4 linked regions of the Lytechinus pictus genome follow. The protein of the gene in region 2 purifies or fractionates together with the protein of the main gene of each other region. This does not show direct contact. Links are inferred from orthologs where the notes say so. Each region holds a gene or a part of one and is shown on either strand. Other genes may lie near its edges.

The links.
Region 1: the proteins of CD2 antigen cytoplasmic tail-binding protein 2 homolog (region 2) and pre-mRNA-splicing factor ATP-dependent RNA helicase PRP16-like purify together in Homo sapiens (affinity purification with mass spectrometry; 3 studies listed by BioGRID and IntAct, counting the BioPlex papers as one, with this or other methods). This does not show direct contact. The link is inferred for Lytechinus pictus from reciprocal best matches to the Homo sapiens genes CD2BP2 and DHX38.
Region 3: the proteins of CD2 antigen cytoplasmic tail-binding protein 2 homolog (region 2) and U4/U6.U5 tri-snRNP-associated protein 1-like purify together in Homo sapiens (affinity purification with mass spectrometry; 4 studies listed by BioGRID and IntAct, with this or other methods). This does not show direct contact. The link is inferred for Lytechinus pictus from reciprocal best matches to the Homo sapiens genes CD2BP2 and SART1.
Region 4: the proteins of CD2 antigen cytoplasmic tail-binding protein 2 homolog (region 2) and E2F-associated phosphoprotein-like purify together in Homo sapiens (affinity purification with mass spectrometry; 3 studies listed by BioGRID and IntAct, counting the BioPlex papers as one, with this or other methods). This does not show direct contact. The link is inferred for Lytechinus pictus from reciprocal best matches to the Homo sapiens genes CD2BP2 and EAPP.

Annotation. Positions count from the first base shown.
Region 1 is NC_087246.1:40,090,713-40,098,612, forward strand, and holds the start of pre-mRNA-splicing factor ATP-dependent RNA helicase PRP16-like, read right to left. Parts: upstream 3,024-7,900; 5' UTR 3,023-3,023; coding exon 2,694-3,022; intron 1-2,693. UniProt on the Homo sapiens protein: Probable ATP-binding RNA helicase. Involved in pre-mRNA splicing as component of the spliceosome.
Region 2 is NC_087246.1:5,700,373-5,707,974, forward strand, and holds the start of CD2 antigen cytoplasmic tail-binding protein 2 homolog, read left to right. Parts: upstream 1-4,594; 5' UTR 4,595-4,984; intron 4,985-7,602. UniProt on the Homo sapiens protein: Involved in pre-mRNA splicing as component of the U5 snRNP complex that is involved in spliceosome assembly.
Region 3 is NC_087251.1:43,746,949-43,754,471, forward strand, and holds the start of U4/U6.U5 tri-snRNP-associated protein 1-like, read left to right. Parts: upstream 1-4,522; 5' UTR 4,523-4,713; coding exon 4,714-4,981; intron 4,982-7,523. UniProt on the Homo sapiens protein: Plays a role in mRNA splicing as a component of the U4/U6-U5 tri-snRNP, one of the building blocks of the spliceosome. May also bind to DNA.
Region 4 is NC_087251.1:39,835,001-39,841,895, forward strand, and holds the start of E2F-associated phosphoprotein-like, read right to left. Parts: upstream 3,025-6,895; 5' UTR 2,543-3,024; coding exon 2,430-2,542; exon of another isoform or gene 2,238-2,429; intron 690-2,237; coding exon 511-689; intron 1-510. UniProt on the Homo sapiens protein: May play an important role in the fine-tuning of both major E2F1 activities, the regulation of the cell-cycle and the induction of apoptosis. Promotes S-phase entry, and inhibits p14(ARP) expression.

The sequences.
Region 1 (7,900 bases), about 34 Mb from region 2:
TGAAGTCTCCGCCCACACCAAAATCAATATGCGGCTTTGCTTTACCATAATGGACCTTCATGCCACATTTGATGATGATCGGAAAAGAAATGTAGCTGGTAGAGCGCTAACAATGACATCTCTACTATTTCCACAAAAACTTGTTACCATGGCAACTATGTCTCCGCCCACACCAAAATTAATAGGTTGCTATGCTTTACCATTTAATGGACATTCATGCCACATTTGAAGATCATCGGAGAAGAAATGCAGCTGGTTGAGCGCTCACAATGACATCTCTGCAAGTCCACATAAACCCTTGTTACCATGGCAACGACGTCTTCGCCCACACCAAAATCAATAGGCGGCTTTGCTTTACCATATTGGATCTTCATGCCACATTTGAAGATGATTGGAAAAGAAATGCAGCTGGTAGAGCGCTCAAAATGACATCTCTGCTATTCCACAAAAACTCTTGTTACCATGGCAACGATGTCTCCGCCCACACTATAATCAATAGGCGGCTTTGCTTAACCATAATGGACCTTCATGCCACATTTGAAGATGATCAGAGAAGAAATGCAGCTGATAAAGCGCTCACATGGAAATCTCTGCGGTGGCGGACGCGGCGCGACGAGGCTAAATCCATAGTATCCTCCGAACTCTGTTTGGGGAATACAGTAACATCTACCATCCAAGTTTGGTTGAAAAGTGATTTACGGTTGCAGAGTCATGTGTCATAAGAAAGTCTTACACAAAAAATTTAACGTTTAACGTTGACCTGAAAATTACCTTTGACCTTACCATGTGACGTGTGACTGCAGCATGACATACAGGTCTCCGAACTACATCGACAATCCAAGTATGGGTGAAAAGTGACTTGTGATTGCGGAGTTAGGTGTCATAAGAGAGTCTTGCATGTAGACTTTAACGTTGACCTGAAAATGACCTTTGACCTTACCAAGTGACCTCCTACTGCAGCACAACATGCAGGTCCCCCATGTACATCTACCATCCAAGTTTGGTTGAAAAGTGACATACAGTTTCGGAGTTACATGTAGATGTCATAAGAGAATCTTGCATGTAAACTTTAATGTTGACCTGAAAATGACCTTTGACCTGAACATGTGACCTCCGACTGCAGTATAACATGAAGGTCCCACAAGTCAATCTACCATCCAAGTATGGTTGAAAAGTGACTTACGGTTGCTGAGTTATGTGTCATAAGGTTAGTGATGGACGGACGATGGACAACATTTGGATCCCTAAGTCTCGCCTTTACCTCTGGTGGCGAGACAAAAAATCATTCTTTCAGGTCATGTGTCTGGATTTTTGAAAATATTTCATAATAAAGGTGAAACTTTTGATCTTACACATGATACAAAATAATTATTTTGATGCATCAAAAGTTGTTGTTTTGAGCCCAAATAATTTTTATTTTTTTATTAAAGCTAAAGATCTAAGCGTTAATATGATATAGGTTTTATAAGAGGTATTATAGATGGCTCAGCATCTAGTTTTTCATAGGCCAAGTACATTTAGCAGCATTAAAACAAGAAAACTGCGTTCTGATTGGTCATAGAGACAACACACCCACGCAAATTCCAATATTTCAATGCTGGGGCCTGTCCAAGCAGGTCATACTGACCATGTGATAATCTCTTCAAATTACCCGCAACTGTTGTTCTGAAATCTTATCCAGCCAATGAGAATTCTGGATTTCTTGCTACTCAGAATTTTCAAAAGTCTTTTCTTGTATCTTGATGGTAAAAGCTGGCTGCTGCAGACCTGCCAACTTCTGGGAATGAAAAAATTGTATTCTGTGATAGCAAAAACTGTATTTCCCCCCCCCCAAAAAAAAAAAAATAATAATAAAAAATTCCATAGTAGGCCTACAGGGGCTGATAATATTCATTGTCTTTTGAATTGTCAGCCATACTATCAATTTTAAAGGTTTTAATTTGTTTCTGATTATTTAAAGTTATATCATCAATGTTATGTAACTTTGTTTATGTAATTATTTGCTTAATTATAATTCTAATTTATTTATTTTGTATATCATTGTATGTATACAGGGATCTTCTTTTTAAAAAAACAGGCCTTTTGGCACTGAAAAGACTACCCTGTTTTAGATAATTTAAGTGAATAAATAAATAAAATGAAAATATATACTAATGAATACTAATACTAAAAAAATATATACTGTATATATACAAATACTAATAAATACTAGAACTAATTTATGCATGCCTCCTGAGTTCTAGTTTTATAGTCTTCCTTTATCACTTTTCACACCATAGTGTGGAGCTGTTTGGTGTGATTGGCTGTATCATTCCATTTATCTCAGGCAATGGGGCCTAAGTTACATAGATTAAAGCATTTCATCCTGAGAATTCAGGTAAAAAATTACATATTAATAGCAGTAATCCCCACATAATCACATTAATAGTATATTCAGATTCAAATTGTCATTCATATTATCAATTATAATGATGTGGGATTCTTTTCTACAAAATAAAGGATCGAGACAACAGGCCGTTCTGCTGCAAAACATTGCATGACTGAAGCATACATCTGGGTAATTGGATTTAGTCTCATTAAGCAATGGCCGACCATGCTCCGTGCAGTCGCAGACGTTAAGCTCATATTGCGAGTCCACACTCTATAGTCTATAGAGTCTAGCAAATTATATATTTCTGTTAAATAAAACCCACCTTTTCAGAACAGTATGTTTCCTCTTCTTCCTTGATTTCGTATCCTCTTCATCTGAATCACTACAGTCATTACTTTCTGAATCAGAATTGTTCTCCCACTCATCTCGGTAAGATATGACCTTTGACCTCCTACTTTTTTCTTCCTCTACTTCTCTTTCTGATACATCTTTCAGTTTGCGCTTCTGGGCAGCAAGGACATCTAAGCCTAGAACAGAAGATCTTGATGGTGGGGCTTTTAAATCCGGATCAGAGTTTAATTTCTTCTTCTTGACGACCAACCCACCAACCTGATTAGAAAGTCCTTCAAGACGATGAATTGAATCAGCCATATTTCTAGAGTTAATAAATGAAATTCAAAAAATGAAATAAAAAGTTTTAAAAAAATGAAAAGATATATGTCTACACAAGGGCAGTTCCAGCGTTACGGACATCACATTTTTGGTAATTTTTGCAACTTCAAATGAAATAACTTAAGATAACACAACTTTTTTACTCTAACTCTAATTACAGAATCACTCACATATGACCATGAATTATATACAGTGCAAGTTTCAATCAATGTCAGTAAATAATGTGTTGGTTACAGCATATAATGTTCACCATTACTGACAATTTTTTTTAAAAGACTTCATACCCATATATTCTTTGAAAAGTTTGAGAGTTTAAGTACACAGTGGGACTAATAAAATTGAACAATAAAATTGTTCATTGGATTAAAGTTAAATCGGAGGCAATCAGCAACTTGCTCCTGGAAAAGTTCATGTGGTAAATCATGGGAGTAGCAGCAAAAACCTGTTGCCTCCTTTCCAAGCTGCAGACGCCATACATACTGTACATGTAGGACCGACCTGTATAACTTTCCAACTAGTAAAAAGTTAAGCTGTTGATATTGATGTGAATCCTGGAATCCCTGGGGATGAAAGCAGCACCTGTCTACCTAATGAATTACATGTAATGTCATGCCACAATACAACATCAAACAGCTCAATGTCCACAAAGTATATAGTCAGGCAGCATATGTCATGATTTACCAGCTACTTCGACAAATTGGCTAAGTCTGATTTTTCACTTTTAGGTGATTGGTGACATCACAAGGAACAATTTTCAACTTGGTGACAAATTTCTAATGGTCATCTTGACCATGTTAGTGGTCAAGATGGGGTCAATAGGGGGCAATTTTTTTAATTGCCCTGATTCTGTCAAGTGACACATCAAATTGTTAGTCTTGTTATACTGAACAAAAAAGTGTACACAACCATATACACTTGACCTCCCGTTAAAAAGGTATGACCGGAAATGTCAAAAGGTCAACAAACTTTCGTTAAATGGCCAATTACACTGAAGGTGTGAAGAAAGCTCATTTTTCGATGTTTTTATGCATGTGTGTACTTTTTTATTTTCAATTTTGATAAGTCCATCGTCAGAAGTCCTTATCCAGAAGATATAAAGGGTCAAGACAAGGTCTTTATCTGAAAAAAGACATTATATATAAAGGGGTCAAATGTGCTTATCTAGGAACAAAATAGATAAACAGAGATAGACGTCGAATACATTCAGTGTGGTATCATGGTATTGCAGGAATACCTTGAAACGATTTGACAAACCATTATGCCCTTAAAATCTTATCATCTTCATGGTGTGATAAGTGCAACCAGGGAGTTTTTTTATTTATTTAGGAATTCAATTCAAGTTCAATTCATTTTCCATTTACTAGTCTTTGATATGTAAAGAAGTATTTCCTTCATTTGCTTTGTACAGAATATTTTAATCAACAGAAATTATTGTAATGTATTGGGGTATAATTATAGTACTACATGTATGTTAACAGAATAAACACATCGATTGATCAGTGCTCCCAGCTCCTAAGAAAGTTGCCTAACATTTCATTTGGATTATCTTGCGAATAAGATACTCGATCTCTGGAGCCAAGAAGGACTACACATTTCTGGTGCATGTGCTGTTCTGAGCTTATCATTGGGACCCTTTTGCATTTTGTAAAGTGAAATTTAAGGATTTTGTGCATACTGTACTTTTGGTCAATTATATTTATTTTTCAGTAAAATGCAAGTCTTCACAATTTCTGGGGGCAGCTGCCCCCCCCCCTTCCCGCTGCGGTATGGCCGTGGTTTACTTCAATGACATGTGTGATTATTCTTTCTAGTAACATCCAGGTAGTTCAGCAATTAGAAAAAAAAAACAAGAACGACAAAAGAACAAAAACAAAATCTGCATCTAGATGCACATCACTATCGTGAGAACTGGTATTAAGTTTAGTTTCACATTGTATGCTCTGGAAAAAACACATTTTATAAAATAGTACAAGCCGTGTTAACGTAAGCACATAATCAGGAATGTGTAGTCCTTCTTGGCTCCAGAGATCGAGTAATGGTCAGAATATATCCCATCAGCATGATGGACACCCATGACTGACTACAATGAGCATGCTTGCACGATGTTGCCTCTTTGTCAGTAATAATATAACCGTCACACATAATTAAGGGGCATTTGGAGTCCAACTTATCATATCATCCTCAATCCTAACCTCATTATCTTAGTCGGAAGTTAATCCAAATAAGATCTTTCTCAGGAGCTGGGAGCACTGGTCAATCGATGTGTCTGCATTGAATGTATTCGACGTCTATCTCTGTTTATCTATTTTTTCCTAAATAAGCACATTTGAACCATTTATATTAAATGTCTTCTTAGATAGAGACTTTTCAAAATAAAGAACCCACGAAAAAGAAGACTTCTGAACTTCTAACCGCTTTTAGACATGTATTTTGGCTGCCAATGAAAGTTTGTTGACCTTTGGAGCTTTCCCTGACCTTGTCTTGACCCTTTCTATCTTCTGGATAAGGACTTCTGACGATGGACTGATCAAAATCGAAAATAAAAAAGTACACACATGCATAAAAACACAGAAAAATGAGCTTTCTTCACACCTTCAGTGTAATTGGCCATTTAACGAAAGTTTGTTTACCTTTTGACATTTCAGGTCATAACTTTTTAACGGGAGGTCAAGAGTATATATGGTTGTGTACAACTAACAATTTGATGTGTCACTCGACAGAATCAGGGCAATTTAAAAAATTGACCCCTATTGACCCCATTTTGACCACTAACATGGTCAAGATGACCATTAGAATTTGTCACTAAGTTGAAAATTGTTCCTTGTGATGTCACCAATCACATAAAAGTGAAAAATCAGACTTAGCCAATTTGTCAAAGTAAATAAAATATGCTGCCTGACTAAAGTCTAGCTGGGAATCCCTCAGAAGCAACATCACTTGAGTAGAAACCCTGTGATCAAAGCAGGGTCTTAATCCGAGAACTGCACCTCCAAAATCATGGATCTCACAAAAAGCACTCTGCAACTGCTTCCTCCTCTGAGGAGGTAAACTACCCACCAAGCCTTCATATATCTTCTCTAAAAAATTGCGGGGTTAAGTCCAACAAAGAATTAATTCCTCTACTATTAAAACAGATGGATATTCTACTACTTCAAGAGCACTGGATCCATGAGGGTGAATTGGGTGTCTTTAAGAATCTTCAGTCACATTTTCGTGCCTTCTCCAAAGCTCATGATCAGCTATACTCTCTTCCAATTCTCGCTACCCCAAATAGCGATTTCGCCGAGATCCGGAAAAATCCCTGTAACGCGCATTGCATTATGGGATAGCTTTTCGGTATTATAACTTCCTGTTCGGAAGTCCAATGCACTGTTTTGCAATTCAGATCAACAGTGCCATCATGCACAACAACACAACGTCGCTTTCGCTCGGAAAGTTCGTGATCACAACCCTCTCTTTCATGATACAGTTTAACTGCCTTTTCTGCTAAAGTCACTAATTCTGCCCGACGCTTTCCATTGCACGGTATTCATCTGTCAGTTAAGATTTTTTTAAGTTCCGAAATTTGATTTTTATCCATTTCGTGGTCGACGAAAAATTGAACGAAATGAATGCTGTATATATTTAGTGTCTAGTTGAATACGATCGTGATGTCAGGCCGGTCGCTAAATGCAAAATTTTAAGATATTCATTATTTGTTTGATTTTTTTATAACCAAATAAAAACATGAATAAAAATTATTTTCACGTGAAATATATTTTTTATTTTTATTTATAATTCAAATGGAATAAAAACTGACCAAATGAAATAAAAAGTATTATACTCTGTACATATTACGCTGATTGGCATCGATTTCAGCGTGGTGGAAAACTCAGTATCGCGAACCTCGCGTGAGCATGACCCTAAACCGGAAGTGGTGATGACGACCCGACAGAGTGAAAATTATCTCGTCTCGCCCATTATGAGATTTTTGTTCCTATTTGGGGTAGCGAGAATTGGAAGAGGCAGAAGAGGTGTTGCCAAATTTGTCAAGAAGGCACTCCCATGCTCTCTAAATGTTACTCCAACAATCTATCCAAGGGTGCTTTGCCCCCATTTGCTCTCTGAAAACCAAGATGTGCCAGTTTGTAACTACTACATGCCATGAGATGTAGTGCTGTAACCCAAACTTTTGTGGTACAGGTTAACCTGCCAGTATGCCCCCAAACGCGGGTTGCGAGCTGGGCCAAATTCATTCTCCAACCCGCAGACCGTACGGCGTAAGGGAGAAGTTATGACACAGACAAAGAAAAACATTTAAAACACACAGACGAAAGAAGGTAAAATAAAGTGAGTTTGGATTACTCAGGGTCACGTGGAGCGTTGTGGCCCAGTGGATTAGTCTTCTGACAAAGGGTCGTGGGTTCGATTCCCAGCCATGGCGTAATTTCCTTCAGCAAGAAATTTATCCACATTGTGCTGCACTCAACCCAGGTGAGGTGAATGGGTACCCGGCAGGATTAATTCCTTGAATGCACGAGCGCTGAAAGGCAGCTCGAGCTAAAGCCGGGGTAATAATAATAATAACAACGCGCCTCGGAATAGAATATTTCTAGATAGATGGCGCTATATAAATGCCTATTATTATTATTACATGGCAGTTTCTTTTAGAGATGCTATTTTCTTAAAAATTTGCAGGCATATTTTTGTGTTTGTGAACGTTGTGTGGGGCTCCGAGTCTGAGACAGTTCGGCAAATACCGCCTCAATATGCATTAGCCTCCCAAGTGAATTAGCGATAGTGCCTCAACATACATTAGCCTCAAAAGTGCTACCAGCACCGTCACTGAAGTTATTATTTTATTGACAATTTGAGGAG
Region 2 (7,602 bases):
ATTACAAAAATTTACTTATAATGTCCTTTTTTGGTCTGCATATCAAAAATTTTCAGCTCGCGCTTCGCATTATTTGAGCAGTGACATACATATCCGTTTAATGGCACTGTCTTTAAAATGTCCCTATTAGGTCAGTATACCTGGCAACTGAGCGCGCTTCGCGCGCTCACTAAGTGACTCAAATATTTTGCTGGTGCCCCCCCAATGCCGTGACTCACGGTACGCATTGTGTTTTCCGCATACATTCGTAATTCCGAAGCTTCGTTATTCCGAAGGTTCGGATATTCCGAAGGTTCGTTATTCCGAAGGTTCGTAATTCCGAAGGTTTGTTAGTCCGAAAACGAAATGAGGTTCGTAATTCCGAAGGTTCGTTAATCCGAAAAAGAAATGAGGTTCGTAATTCCGAAGGTTCGTTAGTCCATAAACTAAATGATTAACTAAACTTATTTCGTTTTTCGGACTAACGAACCTTCGGAACAACAAACCTTATTTCGTTTTCGGATTAACGAGCCTTCGGAACAACGAACCTTATTTCGTTTTCGGATTAACGAACCTTCGGAACATCGAACTTTATTTTGTTTTCGGATTATCGAACCTTCGGAATAACGAACCTTCGGAATAACGCCACAAATGTTCGGATTAAAGAACCCTTTTACGTTTTCGGATTAACGAACATCGAGGTATAGGCAATTTGCGTGTTTCGGAATTACGAATCTTCGGAATAAAGAACCTTCGGAATTACGAAGTGTAACCGTGTTTTCACACCCCTAACATTCATAGTAACAACTGGGGCATTAGAATTACAAATTTACATGAATCCGGCGCCCCTAGGTAAATCGGCGCCCCCCCCCCCCCCTCCTTCCAACCATGGCGAACATCAATTCGGCGCCCCCATATAGAGGCCCGTTATATAGCCCTTTGAAGAGTTACAGATTAAGCCCCGGCTGCAGAACGGGGTCTAGCAATCATTTATGAGCTGGTTCGTACACTGGCATGCTATATATATCATCCATCTTTCTTCCCGTTCTTTTTCTTCTATCTTCGGCCTTCGGCAGTCCAGTCACACTAGCGTACCTATAGTCCAGGATAGAAGGGGTCGAACCTTGTTTTTTTATATATACAATGTTTTTTTATGGTTTCTTGTCAATTCGAGGGTGCTGATTCCGAATCTGAATGATGCCACTCGTGTAACCTTGAGCATTTTCTGCAAATTGGCAAAATCCAATATGGCCGCCAAAATATTCAAATTACCCATGAAAATCATAAAATTGTCCACACATTGGCTTTAAAGTACATGCAATTGTGCTGCCGGAGTGAAATAATATCTGAAAAAATGATTTTTGTCAAAATATTTATTTTCTTGATATCAAAATGGCCGCCATCATAGACCCCTGTACAATATGAATGGGGAAAATTAATTTTTACAAAATTGAGCACTGAAATGCAAGTAATTATGATCTATGAGTGAAGCAATGTCTGTAAACATGATTGCTAACGATATATATCATTTGTTATGTCAGTTATGTGATAAATCCTGTATTTTGATATTCAAAATGGCCTTCAAAAGCCCTAACACTATTATGTACAATGTGAATGGTGACACAAAAAAATCACAAGAGTGAGCACTAACATGCATTTTGTTGAGATAAACGAGTGGAATACTGACTAAAAACATTTTTAATAACGAAATTTATTATTTAACATGCCATGTATGTGATAAACCCTGTATTTTGATATTTAATACGACCGCCAAAGGCCCTAAAATTATGATCTACGATGTGAGAGAGGACAAAAACAATCACAAGGTGAGCACTAAAACGTATTTTTTGTGGTAAATTAGTGGAATACTGTCTTCAAATATAATTTGCAACGAAATATATTATTCGGGTTTCATATTTGTGTTAAATATTGTATTTTGACTTTCAAAATGGCCGCTAAAAGACATTGACTGTATTATGTACAATCGATCTGGGAAACCTATTTTCACATGAGTCAGCACCATAACATGCATATAATTGTGATTTAAGAGTAAAATATTGTCTGAAAACATAATTCCTAACAAGATATATCATTCATTCTGCCAGGTAGGTGATAAATAATGTATTTTGAAAGTCAAAATGGCCGCTACAGGCCCTAACAGTAGGCCTATTATGTACTTTGTGAATGGGAACATATAATTTTAACAGAATTTGGCTTTGCTTGACTAAATGGTGTTGCATGTATGAGTGAAATATCGTCTGAAAATATGATTTTGTTACCAAATAGATCATTTCTTATGTTATTTAGGTGATAAATGCTATATTTAAATTTCAAAATGGCTGCATTATGTTTCTTTGTGGAAATTATCTTTCCCCATTCAAATTTTACATATTAAGATAAGGGACTATGGCGGCCATTTTTCATTTTTAAAAGGCTGCATTCATCACCTTTATGACACAAGCTATGATATATTTCGTTAGAAATCATTGGGTTTAGACAATACTTAACACTTACATCAAAATTAAGCCATTTTCATAGTAAAAATTTTGTCAAAATTATCTGTCCCCAGTTACAATGTACATACTACTTTGGGCTATGGCAGCAATTTTGAATTTCAAAGTAAGGCCTTTATTACCTTCTCAACCATTATGTGATGTATTTAGTCAGAAATCATGTTCAAGACCAAATTTTACCTATACATCACGTAGTTACGTGCGTTTTTGGTTCTCATTCTGGTGATGATTAGTTTCCCTATACGCATGTTACAGAATTTGTAGGGGCTTGTGCGGCCGTTTTGAAAGTCAAAATACAGTATTTATCACCTATGGGAGAGGAAATGTTATATTTCATTAAAAAAATCACGTTTTCAAACAATATTTTCCTTATACAACAGAATTATATGGATTTCATAGTCAGGCAAATCCTAATTCTTTCAAAAGTATTTGTCCCCATTTACATTGTAGATAATACTGTAAGGGCCCATAGGTGCCATTTTGAATTTTACAATACAGCATTCATCTCATGCATGAAAAATGAAATGATATGTTTCGCCAGAAATCATGTGTTTAGACAATATTTCACTCGTGTAGATTACAATTGCATTCATTTTATTGTTTTTACTCTTGTGAAAATTAGTTTCTTCATTCGCTTTGTTCATAATACAGATAGGGCCTATGGCAGCCATTTTGAATGTCAACATGCAGCATAATTACCGAAATTGCAAGGGAAATTATATGTTTCGTTAGAAATCCTTGTTGTCAGACGGTGTTACACCAATATTTCGCAGTTATTGGCATTTTAAAGTCAAACAAATTCAAAGGTTGTGAAAATTATTTGTCCCCTTTTATATATTGTACACAGTATAAGGGGTCTATGACAGCCATTTTGAATATCATAATACAGCATTTATCACATTAGATAGTATACAAATGACATAGTTTTGTTAATAGTCATGTTTTCAGACAGTAGTCCACTCGCAGGTCACAATCACATGCAATAATAGTGCTCTTGTTTGAAAAAATATTTTCCCCATTCATATTCTACATAATAAAGTATACAGGGGTTATGGCGGCCATTTTTAATATCAATAAAATAAATATTTTGTCAAATATCGCTTTTCCAATTGGTATTTCACTTCTGCACAACAACTACATGCATTTTATAGCTAATGTGTTGGCAATTTTATGATTTTCATGGGTAATTTGCATATTTTGGCGGCCATATTGGATTTTGCCAATTTGCGGAAAATGCTCAAGGTTACAAGAGTGGCATCATTCAGATTCGGAATCAGCACCCTCGAATTGACAAGAAACCATAAAAAAACATTGTATATCTAAAAAAACAAGGTTCGACCCCTTGTCTATGGGGCCTATCCTGGACTACTACGGGCCAGAACCCATGCAAAGGACGTATCCCTAGGTCCTATAGATACGCCACTGCCTAGTGGCGTACCTAGGATTTTCAACAGGGGGGCAAAATCGGCCGCCAAAAAATCTGACAAGCAAAAAAAAAAAAAAAAAAAAAAAAGGGCTTCAATCAAGCTCTTCAGGGGGGGCAATAAATGTCTTCAAGCTCGTCAGGGGGGGCAGGGATATGTCTTTTGTATGGGTTGTGGCTCGTCAGCTAGGGGGGCAGACTACCCCCCCCCCCCCCCGTAGGTACGCTAGTGCCACTGCCCAGTCGTATTATATTTTGTCCCTTTTTTATTCTAAAATTATAGCTTTTGGATTCCATTCTACCTTCATTTCCTGCTTTCGTTCGTCTTTTTGTCATCTTTAATTTATTTCCCTTTCTTACTAATCATGCTAATGTATTTAGTTTATCGGGGAGAATTGCTTTTTCTCAAATGTTAATCTTATTTCCTTCGATCCTTTTCCTGTTTTCTTTCCTTTTTAACTTTTTTTTCCTAATTTTCACCTTTTCCATTTTCATTTTCCCCTCTTTTTCTTCCTTTTTAAACTTTCCCTTTCTCTCCCTTTTCTCTTCCCGTTTTTATTATTTTCCCGGTGAAATCCGCCAGGGGGGCAGGTGCCCCCCCCCCCCCTTATATGTCACTGCCTTGATGTATTATTTATGAAGTTATTATGTTTGTATGTTTATTTCAATGCTGTTGAATGTCATTGAAAGAATCAATAAAGAGTACTTTTAAAAACTGCGCCTTATACCGGTACCTAGCTCATTTTTTAAGGGGCATGTACGTCGGAGACAAAGTCCATGTGGGATCAAAAGTGGGATCCCTTATCCTTTGCCCTTACCCAAAGAACTCCAGCTAGCAAAGAGAGCCCCGGGCGCGCCCCGGAGCTCTCTAGTCTGGGTACGGTACCGCGGCCCGGCCGCGCCGCCCCCATAGCCAGGTACCGCTCTCGTCAGTCGATCTACGACGCCGTCTAAGATTAAGAGCTAAAAGAAATAATTTTGATCTCGACAAGCTACCCTGGCCCTGGTATCGTTGTTTCGAGAAGCAGCCAAGAAGACAGCGCTATATTCTTGTCTGGTGGGTTATTCGGTAAGGAACATCCGGATTATTCGTACTAGGCTTTTATTTCTTGTGTTAAAACTGCCCAATCAAAAATTAACCAGATTTCGAGTGAAGTGTGGCATGATTGTTTAATATACCGCTTAGTGTAGGCCTAGGATGTAGTCCCATATACTTATTTTCGTGTTTACCCGCTTCGCGTTTTTGAAATCCTTAAAAGTTTAGCCTTATCGTCAACAAAATATTAATAGACCAGGGGCGGTAACCTGAACATTGCCTTTTCTCTATATTTCATCTTTTCACAGAGATATAACAGAAGCAATATTTTGGGAAATTATTGAAGAGACTATAGCCTATACTATACTCTATAGTAGGCCTATGACTTGGTCTTGAGTTGAATTGTGATTTTGAATTTTTATTTTATAGTAGACGGTCTAATCCCCATTAGCACTTCCATATGACATACTGGGCCTTATCGTGAAATTTGTCACCTCTCTTGTCGTGCGTTGAAAATGGAGGACGTATTTTTCTAACTCTCTCAAAAATTGTTTTTGAAATTCAAATTTCGAAGAGTAGAATATCGTTTGGGGCTTAGTTTTTCCGTATATATCGGATTAGGATCGTACTTATTCCACGGATGTCATTTATATGCCATTTTTTATGCGGATCGATAGGATTTAGTTGGATTTAAATTGTCGCGGTGAACATCTTTCGCGAGGTGCAACGAGCGCAGTGGACCACCGAACGCAACGTAGAGTTTCAGCGGGGAGCTAGCCCGATACCTACTCGACGTTCGCGATGGCGTCTGTCGTCAATCCAGCCGCCCGCAACGGGGAATTGACACTACAGGAGGCCATGAAGCGGCTTTCGCCGAACGCACTCGCAGATGAAGTTTCACCGACGATCGATTCCACATTAGTTCAAGGAGCGAAAAGGAAAATTCTTCCGAAACGCAAGTCATCGGAATCTGAAATCAGCGGTTCGCAGAGATCAAACAAGGGAAACACCAGTAAATCATCATCCAATAAAAACAAACAAGGGAAAGCATCAAGAGATAGGAAATCATCGACTCAAGCAGAAGAGAAAGAATTCCAATGTGAGTACTGTGATAAAACTGGCATTGAAATTATGATTGAATGTGAATGCTGCAAGCGGTGGTCATGTTTGTTGTGTCAAGGCATGTCCATGGAAGTGTATGCTGTACTGAGTGACGAAAATAATCATGCTCATTGGTACTGTTTTTACTGTGAAGAGAAGGCTATACAAGCTATCAAATCAGTTGAATTGAATGAGCAGAAAACAGCAAACACTCATATCAATTCTGGCTTTACTGCCAACGGAGAACAAGGCAATAGCCGAAGTGCAGATATTCCCTTCAATCAGTTGGATCAATTTACTCATCAAATATGTGAAATTATGCAAGAAATGAAAGGAATTAAGTCGATGCTAGAGTCTTCAGAGATAAATGACAATAGAAATAAATCATACGCACATGTAACTAAACAACAAGAAAGAGTGGAGAGTAGGCCTAGAAGTAAAAGCAGTAGGGGCATTGAATCTGACATTAGCCAAAGCCCGAACTACAATTCAGATTCACAGGCTAGTCATGTGCAACTGCAGCAACAATCTGCACTCATTAACATAGCAACTGTTGATGAAATAGTTGATAGAGAAAGAAGAAAGCTAAACTTAGTTTTATTCAATGTACCAGAGTCGACAGGTGATAGTTTTCAAGAGCGACAGTGTGAGGATGCAAAAGAGGCTGAAACTATCTTCTCAACAGGATGTCACGTGGAGGGAGTTAGGATTATGAAAGTCATACGACTGGGAGGGAGGATCCAAAATCAGAACGCCAAGCCCAGGGTTCTGTTGGTACAACTTGAAGATGCTACACACAAAAGTGAAATCTTGAAGTCAGCAAAAAACTTGAGAAAAATAGAGAAATGGATGAATGTATTCATTGCTCCAGACATGACTAAACAACAGCGATTAGAGCGTAAAGCTCTGAGGGAAGAGCTCAAGAGGAGACGCGAGGAGGGTGAAGAAAACTTGACGATTCGCAGAGGAAGATTAGTCACCTACAATATTGATGTGAAACTCAAGCAGAAGCGTACAGAGAATGTGGCACATTCCTTCTCCCGGCAGACGAAGGACAAGCAGGTGAAAGAGAATGTTCAATCCAGCTTCCAACAGTCAGAAGACATACAAGAAGTGCGACCCAGCACTAAACCTAAAGATGGACAAGTTTTAACAGATGAGACAAGGTTAGAAGGAGCAATAGGAGGAGTTGACCTCGGTGAGTGTTGACTACAGGAGAGTAAATGTTCAGTTGATGACAATTCAGTGGCATTTGAAACTGGAAATGATTTGAAAGTTCTATATACAAATGCAGACTCTTTATCAAAATGATTGAGTTGGAAATCATTGTGCATAACTTGAATATTGATATTATTTTGGTGACTGAAGCAAAACCTAAATCTTCTGTAACAGAATCAACTCTGACTTCATTTAATATACAAGGATTTAATATATTTGGAAACCTTGAAAAGGGCAAGTGCAATTCTCGTGGAGTTTTGATATACACAAGGACTACACTCAAGGTGATTGAAGTGGAAATGTTTAATGACTTTATTGAATCATCATGGTGT
Region 3 (7,523 bases), on a different chromosome or scaffold from region 2:
TGTTGTCGCTTACTCGCTTTATTATGATATTTTGTAGATTACTCGTTTAAGCCCGTCTTCCGTGTCCGTCTCCATTTTTGTATATATATAGTTTTGTATATAGTTTGTTAATTAGTATTGAACCTAAGTTTAGGGACTTGCCTTCTTTACAAGCTTCGCTTTTCTTGGCAAGTCCCTCCGTTCATTTCCACATTCTTCATATAGATAAAATAATTGCATCTCACCTTAGTTTTGTTTAATTTATCTTCAATATTTGTTATAAAATGTCATCAACTGTCTGTATTGTATTGAATATGTATACTTTGATTATATTTTGAAAATTTTGTTGAACGGAAATGAATAAATCATAAATCTAAATCTTTAGAAAATGTCTCTGCAGCTATACTCCCTGATAGAAGCTAAACTTATTAAAAACATATAGTTTAGAGTCAGTAGTGCTGATCCATGTTTTGGAAGGCGAGAGGGGGTAAAGACATTCAAGTTGTCCAGAATCAGAATTTTGCACGTGAAGCTCACCGAAAAGTTCACAGTTTTATATGTTTAATAGTATTTTTATGTCAAATCTATAAAATGGTTTTAAAGCGGTTTCAGATGTTTTTGCAATGGATTCTTAAACATGTTAAAGGACAAGTCCACTTCAACAAAAAGTTGACTTGAATAAAAGGAGAAAAATCCAACAAGCAAAACACTGAAAATTTCATCAAAATCGGATGTAAAATAATAAGAAAGTTATGACATTTTAAAGTTTCGCTAAATTTCATTAAACAGTTATATGCACATCCTAGTCGGTATGCAAATTGGCACACTGATGACGTCACCCACTCACTACTTCTTTTGTATTTTATTATAATTATGAAATATGAAAAATTCAAATTTTCTCCTCATTGCCATGTGAAACAAAATTATATTCCTCACTGAACATGTGGAATTACCATTATTGTAAAAGCGTATGGTTAAGTCAAGTTGGTCTTTATTGTCAAATCTGTAAAAATTGAAATATTGTATAATTCAAACAATAAAAGACAAAAGAAATAATTAGTGAAGGACATTATCGACTCTCTCATTTGCATATCGCTGAGTTGGGCATTTAACTGTTTTGTGAAAAATAAGCAAAATTCTAAAATGTCATAACTTTCTTATTTTACATCCGATTTCGATGAAATTTGCAGCGTCATGTTTGTTTGATTTGTCTCTATCGATATGATTTTGTACTCCTTGTACAGGCTTGTATACTGGAATAACCAAAATGGTTCTATATAAACGACTGTTTAGAACCCTTTCTGCTTCTTCGAAGAAAGCTTTAAAGGTCAAGTCCATCCCAGAAAATGTTAACTTGAATCAATAAAGACAAATTAAAAAAGCATGACGCTGCCAAAATTGGATGTTACTAAAAAGGTTGACATTTTAAAATTTCGCCTATCTTTCACAATATGCACAACTCAGTGTTTTTATGGAAATAAGAGAGTCGATGATGTCCCTCACTCACAATTTCTTTTTTTTTATTGTTTGAATTATACAATAAGTGTTTACAGATTTGACAATAGTGACCAACTTGACTGAACCACAAAGTGTTAAAACAATCATGGAAATTCCACGTGTTCAGGGAGGAATAAAGCTTTCTCATGACAGTTAAAGGAATATTAAATTATTCAATATTGCATAATAATGAAATTAAAAAAATAAAGAATAGTGACTAGGTATGGGATGTCATCAGTCCCCTATCCCGACCAGGATGTGCATATAATTGTTTTGAAATTAAGTGTCATAACTCTTTTATTGTACATACGATTTTGATGAAATTTTCAGTGTTATGCTTAAGTTTGATTTTGTTTCCTTTTATTCATATCAACTTTTTGTTGGGGTGGACTATACATATATTAGCAAATCAATGCAATAAATTCAAATTATAAACTAAACCAAATTTATCCAATGCAGCCGATGTTTAAAGGAAAATTAAATCTTTGAAACAAGATAGCTTGTGCGAATACAGAAGAATAAAAGAAAAGGTCAATAAAAATTTGAGAAAATTGAATAATTAATGCGAAAGTTATGATCATTTGAATATTTAGATCATTATTGTAATGTAGATCCTCCCATTAATAATGCGACAAAGATGTGTAATGTCACATGTGAACATTATCACATCTATCAGTAGATAATTTATTCTTTCAATAGAAGATTTTGAAAGGAATACATTGTAGATAAAGAGTTTGTATCACCATATGAAAGAGCAAAAAAGATAATTTGGGGGCATTTCATAGTCCATCAAAGGGAAAGTTGTTCACATGTGACATCATACATCTTTGTCGCATTGCCAATAAGAGGATCTCTATAGCATTAGTGATCGCAATATTCAAATTCTCATAAATTTCTCATTATTTTTCAGATATTTCTCAAAACTGAACAAAAAAATGAAATTACCACTGACAGACAGTATTATTAAAAATAGTGACGAAGTTATTATTCATTAAAAAGTACTATTCATTACTAAAAACTTCTGGGGCTAATGTTCCAGGCAGAGAATCTTTGGTAAAATGAAAAAAAAAGCAAAGATGGACACATTTCACGCCCCTCAAACAATTTCATTTTTTATGATCTTCCATTAGTAATAATAGATATACATTACATTGGTATCTCTATTTATGGCGACTAGCACTCAAAATACTTTCTAGGTCGGCATGGTTGGTGACAATGTATGCATTCATTGTAACCAACCATGCCGACCTAGAAAGCATACTGCTTGGAACGTTGGCCTTAATGGATATAGTGAAGGGAATAATATTTTTGGAATAAAGGAGAGACGAGGAGGAAAAGGGAAAGAGTTGAAGAGACAGAAAGGGGGAGGGGGTGGGGAGATAAAGGGGTGAAAATTAGAGAAAAGCGCGCAGATGGAAATACAGTGTAGATAAAGAGACAATGTGGGTGGGGGGGGGGGTGCGAGATTATGAGGAGAAGAGGGGGGAAAGAGACAGAAAGGGAGAGAGAGAGTCACATAATGAAATATGAGTACGATACAGGTTGTCTTTGACTAACAAAAATCTTAGTCTTTTTAACAAAAAATAAAATGAATAAAAGAATCCTTTGTTGCAAGGGCGTATAGGCTGGGGGTGCACACGCACCCTCTCGCTGAGGAGTTCAAACCGAAATTTGTACCCCTTCTGCTTTCAACAGCTGATTTTTTCAAACTTTAGTTCCACCTCTCCAAGATGTGCACCCAGCTACCACTTCAGTTCCACCTCACCGCTCACCGGGATGTGCACCCCCATGCTCAACCAGCCCTTGTGTTAGCAGAAATTATGCAATGCTATACCTACCCAAAAAAAATATCATTCAAATAAATCCACCTTAAAAATGATTTATAAAAAGAATATTCATTCCCTTTATATACTAATTAAAAAATAATCAAATAAATCATCATATCATAAAATAATCATATTGTAACTATATCCAGTCAGCAAAATCACATCACTCTTATCTGGAAAGTTCAATGGTTGCCACTCCCGGTTGCCACTAAATGAATCTTCAAAGTCCTTCTATTGGTCTCTCATTATTGTCAATATAACTTGCCCTAGTTATAATAAGTAATTGATTCATACCAACCATCAGTTTAAGAAAATGGGGGGGGGGGGCAGCTTCACTCAAGTGGGACAGAAATTGTGCGATTTACTTTCACATTATAGTTTGAAATCACAGGCACTGTCACGGGGAACCTAAAGATAATTATTTACCCATATAATCTCCCCCGAGAGGACTTATCATAAAATTAAAAAGTATTTGATCTGACCAGGGTATTTCCTTATTCGACCAAAGAAATCTCCATGATCTAACCAGGCTCATCAAAAAAATATTTTTTTTTACGTTTCTTACCCTTTTAAACATGCCCAAGTTAATGGTTTGATGAGCCTTGGAATTAATTCAGCCCTATGTCAGAGGGAAATTGTTGGGGGCACATTACATTACTAATCTTTCTGAATTAGATATTGAATCGAAACCGGCCCCGGCTAAAAAAATGAAAATAGCCCTAATTCACAATTTTATCGTTACCAGATTCAGTTATAATTCAATTCATAACATTAAAACACTGATTTATCCTGAATACAATACAATTAATAATCTGTCCTTTTCCATAAACAAATGAAAAGATAACTTAAAAAAAAACTTATATTAAATGTAAACAATTGACACAAATTTATGTAGATCTGCATGAGGAGGACCATCCGACCTTTCTGAATAAAAGAGATGGATTTGTCTACAAAATATATGGGAACTTGAGACACTGCACTTCAGGGCGAGGAACCATAGGCCTTTTGGGGCTATGCCCCCTAAAAAACGGTAAAGATAAAAAAACAACGAAAACTTGAAATAGGAAGGAGCGAGTAATTACGTTATATCTTTTAATTGTTTTAATGTCAAAATCTACCCCAAAATTAGATTTTTGTAGTTAAAAATATGACAATTTTTGTTCACTCGCTTCGCTCATATAATTTGAAACCTTTTAGGCCTAAAATTGACAACACTCGCCAAACCAAATCGAATCACAATCAGCAACCGGCCGAAAGTTTTCCGAAAGAGCGCCAGCTAGAGTCTAGTCTATAACGCTCGCTGAAAATATACGATTGGAAAACGCATTTCATTTTGCGAATAAATTCTCATCAACGTTTATATATCTAATTTCTTTGGATTTTCTGGTGTACTTTATCGATTTCATTCAACATGGGGTCGTCTAAAAAACACAAGGAAAAGGACAAGGATCGGGAAAGGAAACACAAGCATAAAGACCGTGATAAGGACCGAGATAGAGAGCGGAAACACCGGAGCAAACACAGCCACAAACACAGGGATAAGGACAGGGATCGTCGTGTCGTTGAGAAAGACGTCGAAGCCGGGGAAATTTCTTCACCAGAACAGAAAAATGACCGAAAACGCGGGAGGAGTCTTAGCCCATCCCACATAAAACTTGAGAAAGATGTTGAATTACAAGGTATCTTGACAATAATAGGCCTATTTTAGGTCAATCTTTCAAAATTGTGACAAACTTTTACATCACAAAAATGCACATATGGGACTGAACTTTAGCATATGATTTGCACCATCACCATGCACCAGCGAATATAATAGTAATAGTAATACCGGTATTCCTGAACAATTGCCATGACCATGCATGCCCATGTCATGATGAGACCTCTAAATTAAGGTTTTGATCATAAAGAAATACATTGTCATGACTCATGGATAAAGTAGACTTAACCAGTAGAGGCGCACGGCCAATATGGGAGACTCTCTCCAATAGCAATAGGGGAGACAATCTCCCACATTGGAGACTTGCTTTGCAAAAGGACAAAAGAAACAACACCAACAAAAGCATGATTTTTTCAACCAAAAATTTTGTCTCACTGAGGTCAGAAGCCCATTTGTTTTGTGTGTGATTGACAACAAAAATCCTTATCAAAACAAAAGTAGACGGTGAATTTTTAAAGTAGAAGGTGAAAAAGGGTAATTTTTCATGAGGAATCTCCTTATCACATTTTTATTTGCCGCCAAGGTAATCCTTTTGCAGCAAATGTAAACAAAGGAAATTGGTCGCCAAAACTGGAGACCGTCTCTGAAATTGGATACCCAAATTCTTTACAAAAGTCTCTGATATTGGAGATAATCTCCCACATTGGAGACAGTCTCCAATATTGGCCGTGCGCCTCTACTGTTAACTTCTTGACTTAAAGTACATAATGCATAACAAAGTCTCAAAAGACTCAATGCTCAAAATCAAAATTTTTTTTTTTTAATTCATCAGGTTTTTTTTGTACTAAAAATTTAAAAGTCTAACTTCTCTAACTCTAAGTAAAACAGAGACCAGAGTCAGAAATTTTTGATTGTCAGACTGAGAGGAGAAGAGAGGCCTTCCCCTTTTAAAAACGAAACCTGGAATTCCAGTGGAATTAACTCTAAAACTAAAAGTTCCTGGAATTTTACAAAATATCTCAGAATTTTACAAATGTTCTCCAGTCTTTCATAGATGTTATGTACTTCTTTTCTAAAGTATGCAAAAAAGATGAAATATAGGGCCCAGTGCTGTAATGAGTCAAAAATATTGAGGGGGCAAAATATGACCAAAGACGTATCGGGGAAAAGAATTGCTAGTGAAGCGAGTGAGCGAAAATTTTGACATTTTCATTACAAAGATCTAACTTTGAGATAGATTTTGACATAATGTTCAGAAAATAATATAATTCCTGGAAATGATAACTTCCCGAAATGATCTTGGAAAAGGGCAAAACTTCCCGGAATTTCCTGGATTACGGGAAGAGTGGAAGCCTTGAGGAAGGCTGACGTTAGAGCCTAAGTTAGGCTCAGCTCAGTCAGACTCAGTAAGATCCCTTAGAGCTTCGCAGAGGCTCATGGCATGGCCAATATTGGAATCAATTGGAAGATTTACTTCCATAATGGTGTACTAGTATTGATTCTTATTATATTGATTTTATTTGACCTTTATATTGGCTTAATTTGACAAATTGACCTTATTATATTGACTTTATTTGACTTTTATATTGACCAACGAACGTAGAGGGCAGCGACACAGCAGTGTTGCTTTTAGGAAGGTCCACTCGATACGCGCATACAATTGAAGTTTGCGAACAAGGCATGCCAACAAAACCATGCATCAACACAATACAATCTCGGATAAATAGCGAAATATAGACAAAAATGACAGATTATCACAAAAATACATTTAACTAATAGAAAAACAAAAGTATGGCAAGTTCCCTCAAGTCTGTGCACATGCGTACATGTATCTGCGCGATTCTAGTAAAAGAAGATATGCAAGGAACACAGACTTTACACATGCAATACATAGACAGATATTCATTGAAAAATCTGACTCAAATGGTGGGAAAATAATGAATTTAGGGCGTTTCATGTGACGACCTCAAAATGCAGCCTTTCTCATCAAAATCCCTGAATCGTGTGCAAAGTGAATGGGTGCGCAGACATGGGGTACCATTTTTTTTTTCAATCTGAAAATAACTGCCCGAGGTTTTTATATAAGAAATTCCTATATTTCTTTCAAATTTTTATGAGATATTTGTTACACTTACTCATAATAATATAAGGAACATTATTAAATGAAAGATTTTGTGAAATAAGAAGTTCATGTTAAATCTTAACTCAAATTGTTAGGTGCGCAGACTTTGGGACCACCATCGTATTAATCAAATTCGTTCAATCAATCTTGCCTTGGCGTTGCTAGTGTATTGGCCAGATTCGATCACTGCCTGATGGATTGCCAAGAGCTAGCCCGGATTTGTGGATACATGTACAGCATACTTATTTTTCATATTTTCAGACTCTTGATGGATTGCAAAGAGCTAGCCTGGATTTGTGGATATAACATACTTATTTCATATTTTCAGACTCCAATCTGCATTGAAAGTGAAAATTAAGATTCTAACCTTGAACATTCATCGTTGCTCAACTGCTTTAGTGCCACAACAATGACAGACCAAGTCCATGTCATTCAAGTCCAT
Region 4 (6,895 bases), on a different chromosome or scaffold from region 2:
GCAGTTTCAAACTAAATATTTCATAATTAGACACCAACTTACTGCTATTCATTCAAGCCCTGTCTTCTACTATTGTGATTATTCATAAGTGTCTTTCGCATTATGAATAATTAATGAGCCATTTTTTAGAACTTAAATCAAACTCCTTAAGGTCACAAAGTTGCAAGTCACACTGATCAATTATCAGCCTGACAGGGCCCATCTCAAAATATTAATAACCATATTCAATCCAAGTTTTTACTTCTTAGTTTCCTTAGCATTGGAGCTAAGCAGAATGGTGGTAATTTGGACACAGATTGTCTGCTGGTAGAAAATTTTAGTTCTTCATCCCCTGTTTCTTTTGAGGTACATATTCACCCAAAAATAAAAATAAAATAAAAATTGCTCCAAATGTACTTGAAACCATGCGAAAAGGGAGAATTTTTCGACTTGGGGAATGATCATGCTTTACACCTTCCAATAGGTAGTGCCACCACCGGGATTTTCTCTTTCCCTTATACATTAACTCACCATTAACCCTGAATTGATTCTCATGGTTTTTCATGGTTGCATCCAGCTCCATCTCCATCTCTTTCTCAAAATCATCTTCACTGGAGGACATCTGAAGGCTGCCTCGGCTCAAGCTCCTCGTCAAACGACGTTTCTGTTCTGGAGTCCCATTCAGGATGATATCTAACTCATCTTCAGAGCTACATTCAGAAAGAAAAAAAAACAGTGAAAGAAGAAATAAATAGCTTAGTCTTAAAAGCAATAAAAATTAGTAGACAAGAATTAATTTCAAACATGCATGACAATTTTCATCTTAATCATCAGATTATTAATTATGTAAATCAATATTGCTTTCCTTTTCTTTTTATGAGGATCTAGTCCCAGTCTTATATAACATGGAAATGTAACCTAACTTTTCATAATTTTAGAGTTTGAACATCAAATTTATGTTCTCACAAGTGTTGCGCAGGCTGGATTCCGACTTCTTTCATATTATGTAGATCTAACTTAATAAATTTAAAATTGGAATCACAAATTGACAGGTTACCTATTCAAGATGATGGGGTAAGGAATCAATGTACAGGGTGTAAGTGCAAACTTTTATTCAAAATAATGAAGTGAAAAATCAGTACTACAACCGACAGTTATCATAGACGAGGTGAAGTTCAAGTTCAACCACAGGCCACACTGTCAGTGTCACTGACAATGTTTTAGTTTTTGCTTTGAGTTTGACTTTGTGAGAAATTGAGACTGATCATAACCGATGGATTATCCTCAAACCTTAGTTTTAGTGGAGAAAATGTCCGATTAAAAAAATTCTGTTATTTATACAATTAACTTTTTGTGTTGGTGAACTTCCCCTTCAATTCAAAGTTCACCCCCGCTATTCTTCGTTGGTTACGCGTAGCCAGGAGGCTCCTAGAGAGTAAAAATCCTTTACCAACCTATGCTTACTCTCCACGGAGCCAGGAATTGCGTCCCATTCATGTGCATGTACCGCAAAAAAAATGAAACTTTCGCCCCCGAGATTCTACTTTCCTTCCAAAAGATCTAGCCCTAAATCAAATGGGATACAACTTCATTTCCGACATTTCTACGCTATTGATTTCATTCTCATACAAGAATTCATTAAAAAATATGAAAAGACAGGGAAAACTTGCCACCATGTTTACGTCGCCATCTTGATTTCTTTGTCTTTCGCCATATGCGTGCTGTAGGCATGTAGCCTTGGCCTTGCATGGCGAAAGACAAAGAAATCAAGATGGCAACGTAAACATGGTGGCAACTGGCAAGTTTTCCCCATCTTTTCACAATATTTTTTCTTGTTTTTTTAATGAATTCTTGTTTAAAAATGAAATCAATATCGTAGAAATGTCGGAAATTAAGTTGTATCCCATACATGATTTAGCTGGGCTAGAGCTTTTTTAGAAGGAAAGTAGAAATCTCGGGGATGAAAGTTTCAGTTTTTTTTCGCGGTACACGCGCATGAATGGGGACGCAATCAAATCCCTGGCTCCGTGGAGAGTAAAGCATATACCCAGTTGTTGTGTGTCCGGACAGGTTGTGTGTCCGGACGATCAATTTTAGAAAGTCATTTGGAATTGGAAAAATTTACAAGCGAAGTTTCATAAATTATATGTTAGGAAATATTATAAAGAACAAAATAGAAGATGATTACAAGTATTGAATTTATATTTTTAGTGTAATCCAAATACAAAAAAGAAGGCTTCAAAAATATAAAGTGTCCGGACACCCGACCCCCCATCCTACCACGTTAGTAAATGATTTTTACTCTCTAGGACTAGGAGCCTCGATCCTGGCTAGTTAGCGGCCGCGACCGCGCACTGATGCAGCCGGGCCGCCGGGCGATCGCGACAGACAACGGCGCTCGAGCCGAGAGGAGGTTGCACAGGATCCGCCACCCAGCCCGGCCAGATTACCTTTCATTTTCCTCATCGACATCGTTGACGCTACGATTTCCACTCCCAGTTCCACCCCTTCCAAAAATATTGAAGGGAACATTGCACACTCTCTGATCGTGATCTTCATCCATGGTCAAGCTAAACTAATCTGGAAGTTCTTGTGATAAAAATCTCACTCTTTTTCGGCAATATATGGGACTGAAGCCTTCTATCTTGTTCGACGGTGCGGTGGATGCGACACCGGAAGTCTCCGTCATTTGCCTTACCTCCGGCTCCGAAGGCCGAAGTTTGTGGGGAAATTTTTCGACAGCAAATTTCAGGTAATTACAATTGTTATTATTAAAAAAACTGATTGTTTCTAAAGACAATTTTATGTGGTTCATTTCGGTATGATTGATTTGCAATAATTTTTAATTTCAACATGCTTTTTTACTAATTCTTAATTATAGTTCCAAAATGAATTTCGATCCGTAAACATGACAGTGAAAATACAGTATGGGACTGGCAACCGTAGCCGGCATTGCGGCGCGCGCTGGCTCAGTAGCCCGATATACCCCGGTCCGGTGGTTGATATACCCCGGTGGTTGTGTGTCAGGACTCAGTCTTAGGACACATGACTTTTACTTTTAGTTATGAAAAGTTTACAAGCAATTTATTTGATTTTATTAGCACAGAATGTAAGAAAATGTTAATAAAGAACAAATAATGATGGTGATCATGGTGATAAGCACTATTCAACCTATATTTTTGGCTTAGATTAGAGTGAAACTTAGACTTATTGTCTCATAAATAAGAGTCATATTGAGAAGTGAGATAAACATAATTAGTGTGAGTGAGCCAGGCCCAGGACTGTCTCAAGTCAAAGTCTCAAGCCTCAAGCAATTCTTCTGTGTTCGGACACCAACCCCCAATGGGTGTTTCCACAGATCCAAAACAAATTTCCTGAAAATGAATCCTTAATTTCCCGAAATTAATAGACATTTCCTGGAATTTTCAATTTTGATTTTTAACGAAAATCAGGGAATATGATGGGGTGTCCAAACTTCGGGCACTTTTCAAAAATATTCATCAGGCTTAAATATTTTCACAAAATATTCCTAATTTATACAAAACCAATTCAAGAAATAGTAACCACATTGACGGCAAGATCGTAAACTATAAAATCATGGACGAAAATGTAAAGTAGGTCAAGGGGATTTGCCGGTATCGCGATCTCAAAATTCTATTCCGATCGGCGAATGCGCGCTGTGCTGGAAAACCGTTCAGAAAAAGTGTGACCTAACTTCGCGGACCAAAGTTTTTGTGGACATTTAAACAAAAACTCAAGCTCAAAAAGTGAAATATTTATATCAGATCGATGGCAAAATGCTATAGAATCGGTTAGTACCACATTTAACTCACATTTTTGATGATTTCTGCTTGCAAAATGGTGATATCGTGATGCTTGTTGAAAATATCAGATTTCTTCAAAACAAGTGCTAACGGTGACAAATTTGCCGATCTTTTGCCAATATTTTCATGAATACTGAACTCATCCTAAAGAAACTTACACCAAAGGGTAATTTTAGGTCGCTTTTCACGTTGATTACGTCAGATTTAAAGGATATTGGCTAGTTTTTTAGATAATGACCGTCCGCGAAGTATGGACACGCGCGAAGTTTGGACACACTGCCATACAATGAGCCTAAATTTGGTCCAAGAAGAAGTGACCATAATCAAGAAATTTAACATTTTTTTGTTCATGCCATCTTTAAAAATAGGAACAAAATTATGAAATGGGAGCGCAGAGCGCGAGCAGAAAATTTTGAGCTACGACGACGGAGCCTACGTCTGGAGCCGGAGGTAGATCTTATGTTGGATCTAAATCTTACTACTTCACTGACTGTCACTGTTCTTAGGATACTTAGGGAATATATAGTGGGACCACCACATATCGACCACCTTGCACGCATTAAAATTATTGCATATATTACAAACGATACGCGCGGGAGATAGGCGCAGTGCCCATTGGAACGGTAAGAATCAATTTTACGAGAGAAAAAGAAGGGGTAAAAGGTAAAAATTTAGTAGAATTTATAAAAATTGTTTTTACTAGACCCGAACCCTGCCAAAAAAACAGTTGTTCATACCAAGAAATCCGATAGGAAACGGCTTTAGAAGAAATATCTGTCTCCAATTGTCGAATCATGTGCCGGAGCTCGCAGTGGAAGTAGTGAGATGATCATTTAGCATGTTGTCATCATAGAACTGATTTGGAAGAGTCAAAATATTTCGCCACCACAACAAGAATCGGCTGAAATGTGGGAATCTGATCTGCTCAATTTTCTGCACAAATGAGACGAAAACTAGGTTAAAACTGATAAGTATTTTCGCAGATACGATTCTTAGAAAATTAGGTGGTCGATAAGGGGTAGTTCCAACCATACTGAACGAAGTCATTATGACTCTGTATTCAGTTCCAAATTCTTTCTCCTCTTTAGGATGGCCGGATCATCTTTAAATACTACAATGAATATTTAAAAGTTGTTACGGTTAATTGTCGTTTAATTGTAATCAGGGGCGGATCCAGGATTTTCCAAAAGGGGAGGCATGCACATTATGATTTATCCAAGGAAAAATTGGACCAGCAAAAAAAAAATGTCTTCTTTTTCAAAGGGGGGGGGGGCACACTTCTGTTTTAACAGTATTTTTACATGACAAATTTCAATTTTGCTTCTCAAAAAGGGGGGGGGGGATCTGCCAGTGATTGTAATTTTTGGATTTCCCTGAAGTTCCTGGAATATTTTCATTTCCAAAACCTTTCCTGGAAAGTCGAAATTTCCTTAATTTCGGGAAGAGTGGAAACACCCCATCCACTTGCACTCTTCAACCACCCTGTCTGTGGTGAGCCTATGCAACATACAATGCACATTCAAAAACTTTTGTGATTATAAAAAAATCTCAGATCCATTCAGTTATGATTTGTTTTCATTCTAGACTTAGAAATAATTTTTTTCACCAGAGCGCTCAAAACCTTTCATTTGAGCATATTTTTGTGAGACCCTCTATTGGTGGTATTAGAGATTGATGCAGATCTTCATCTTCACAGACTCGCTTTTTAATTAGAAAAAAAAATATCATTTAGTTTTGGGCCAAGGCATATTTTTTTATGATGAATTTACTGTAGTAAAAACTGACTGCCAAAATATCAAGTATTTATCCAGTCTAGATCAAGAGAAAATAACCCAAACGTTTAAAATCTTTTTCTTTTAATTTCACCACGCAGGGGTTACTAATTGAGGACAAGGTTACATATCATGGCCTTGTATTATTGGATAAGTGCCCCCATCCTACCACTGGTTGTTGCATGTCCGGACGGGTTGGGTTTTATGGACCGACGATTTCTTCCACTAGGTCTAGTCATTTGAAATGGTTTGAAATTAAAATCAATTTTTTGTAGTTTTCAAAGAAACTTTTAGAATTTAAAGGCCTAACGTAGCATACATGTATGCGTAGACCTCTACTCTGTTGATATTCCCGACCTTTCGTTTGAGGACGCGCACGCTTATTTACGACGGTAGTTGATTTTGGAAGAGACTTTTTGGGCCCGTCATCATGGTCGTAAAACTCTGTCCTGCAATGCAAATTGTGTGACATGAGATTATTTTTTTCGTTTCGCATCTGCGACGGAAACATTCAATATGCGTTTCGTGTGCAAAATTCTGGTTGCTACTATGGTAACAGCGATATATCCGATTGAGGACGACTTTCCAAAGCAACATTTGACTCCTCCTAGAGCTCGAGAGGCCGCCCGGGGGGCCCACTTCCATTGATTAGTGGATACCAGGAGCGAACACGCGTTAAAGGGGACAGAGTGGGCAGGTACGTTACTTATAGGCCTATGTAACGTAATAAGGGTGTCAAAACGATGTTTAAAATGCTGAAAAAAAGGGATATATATATACTTGTAGGGTTTCACAAGCCAAATACTTGTTAAGAGATGCATTTTCATAATCTGGAAAAGAATTGCTTCCCTTGTTTAGGGTACTTTTCGAAACCTCATGGTCGTGCCTGGTATCCACTCATCAATGGAAGTGGTCCCCCCGGAATTTGAATCTAATCCCCCATTTCTGGGGAAAGAAAAACATAATGCCCATTACATCGTGTGCGAGAGGCATATCGTTTGTGTAGAAGGAGTAAACAAAAGAAACAAAAGAAACAAAGAAACAAAAGAAACGAGTTCAAACGTATTGCATATGCTGTGCGCATATCAACGCGCGCGGAATTTTCGGCTGGAGAGGTTGATCTGACCCATGAAATCAATTGCCAGTGATCCACCAATAATCCACATCAAATGTAATATCGATTCGATGGACTGTAATGATCTATATCTAAGCCTTCATTCAGTAAGTTTTTCCTCACTCAATATGTACTCAATTTGTTTGAAAAACCACTTTCTTATCCATGTCATAATCTATTTTAGGTCCTGCATTTCGAATATCTCC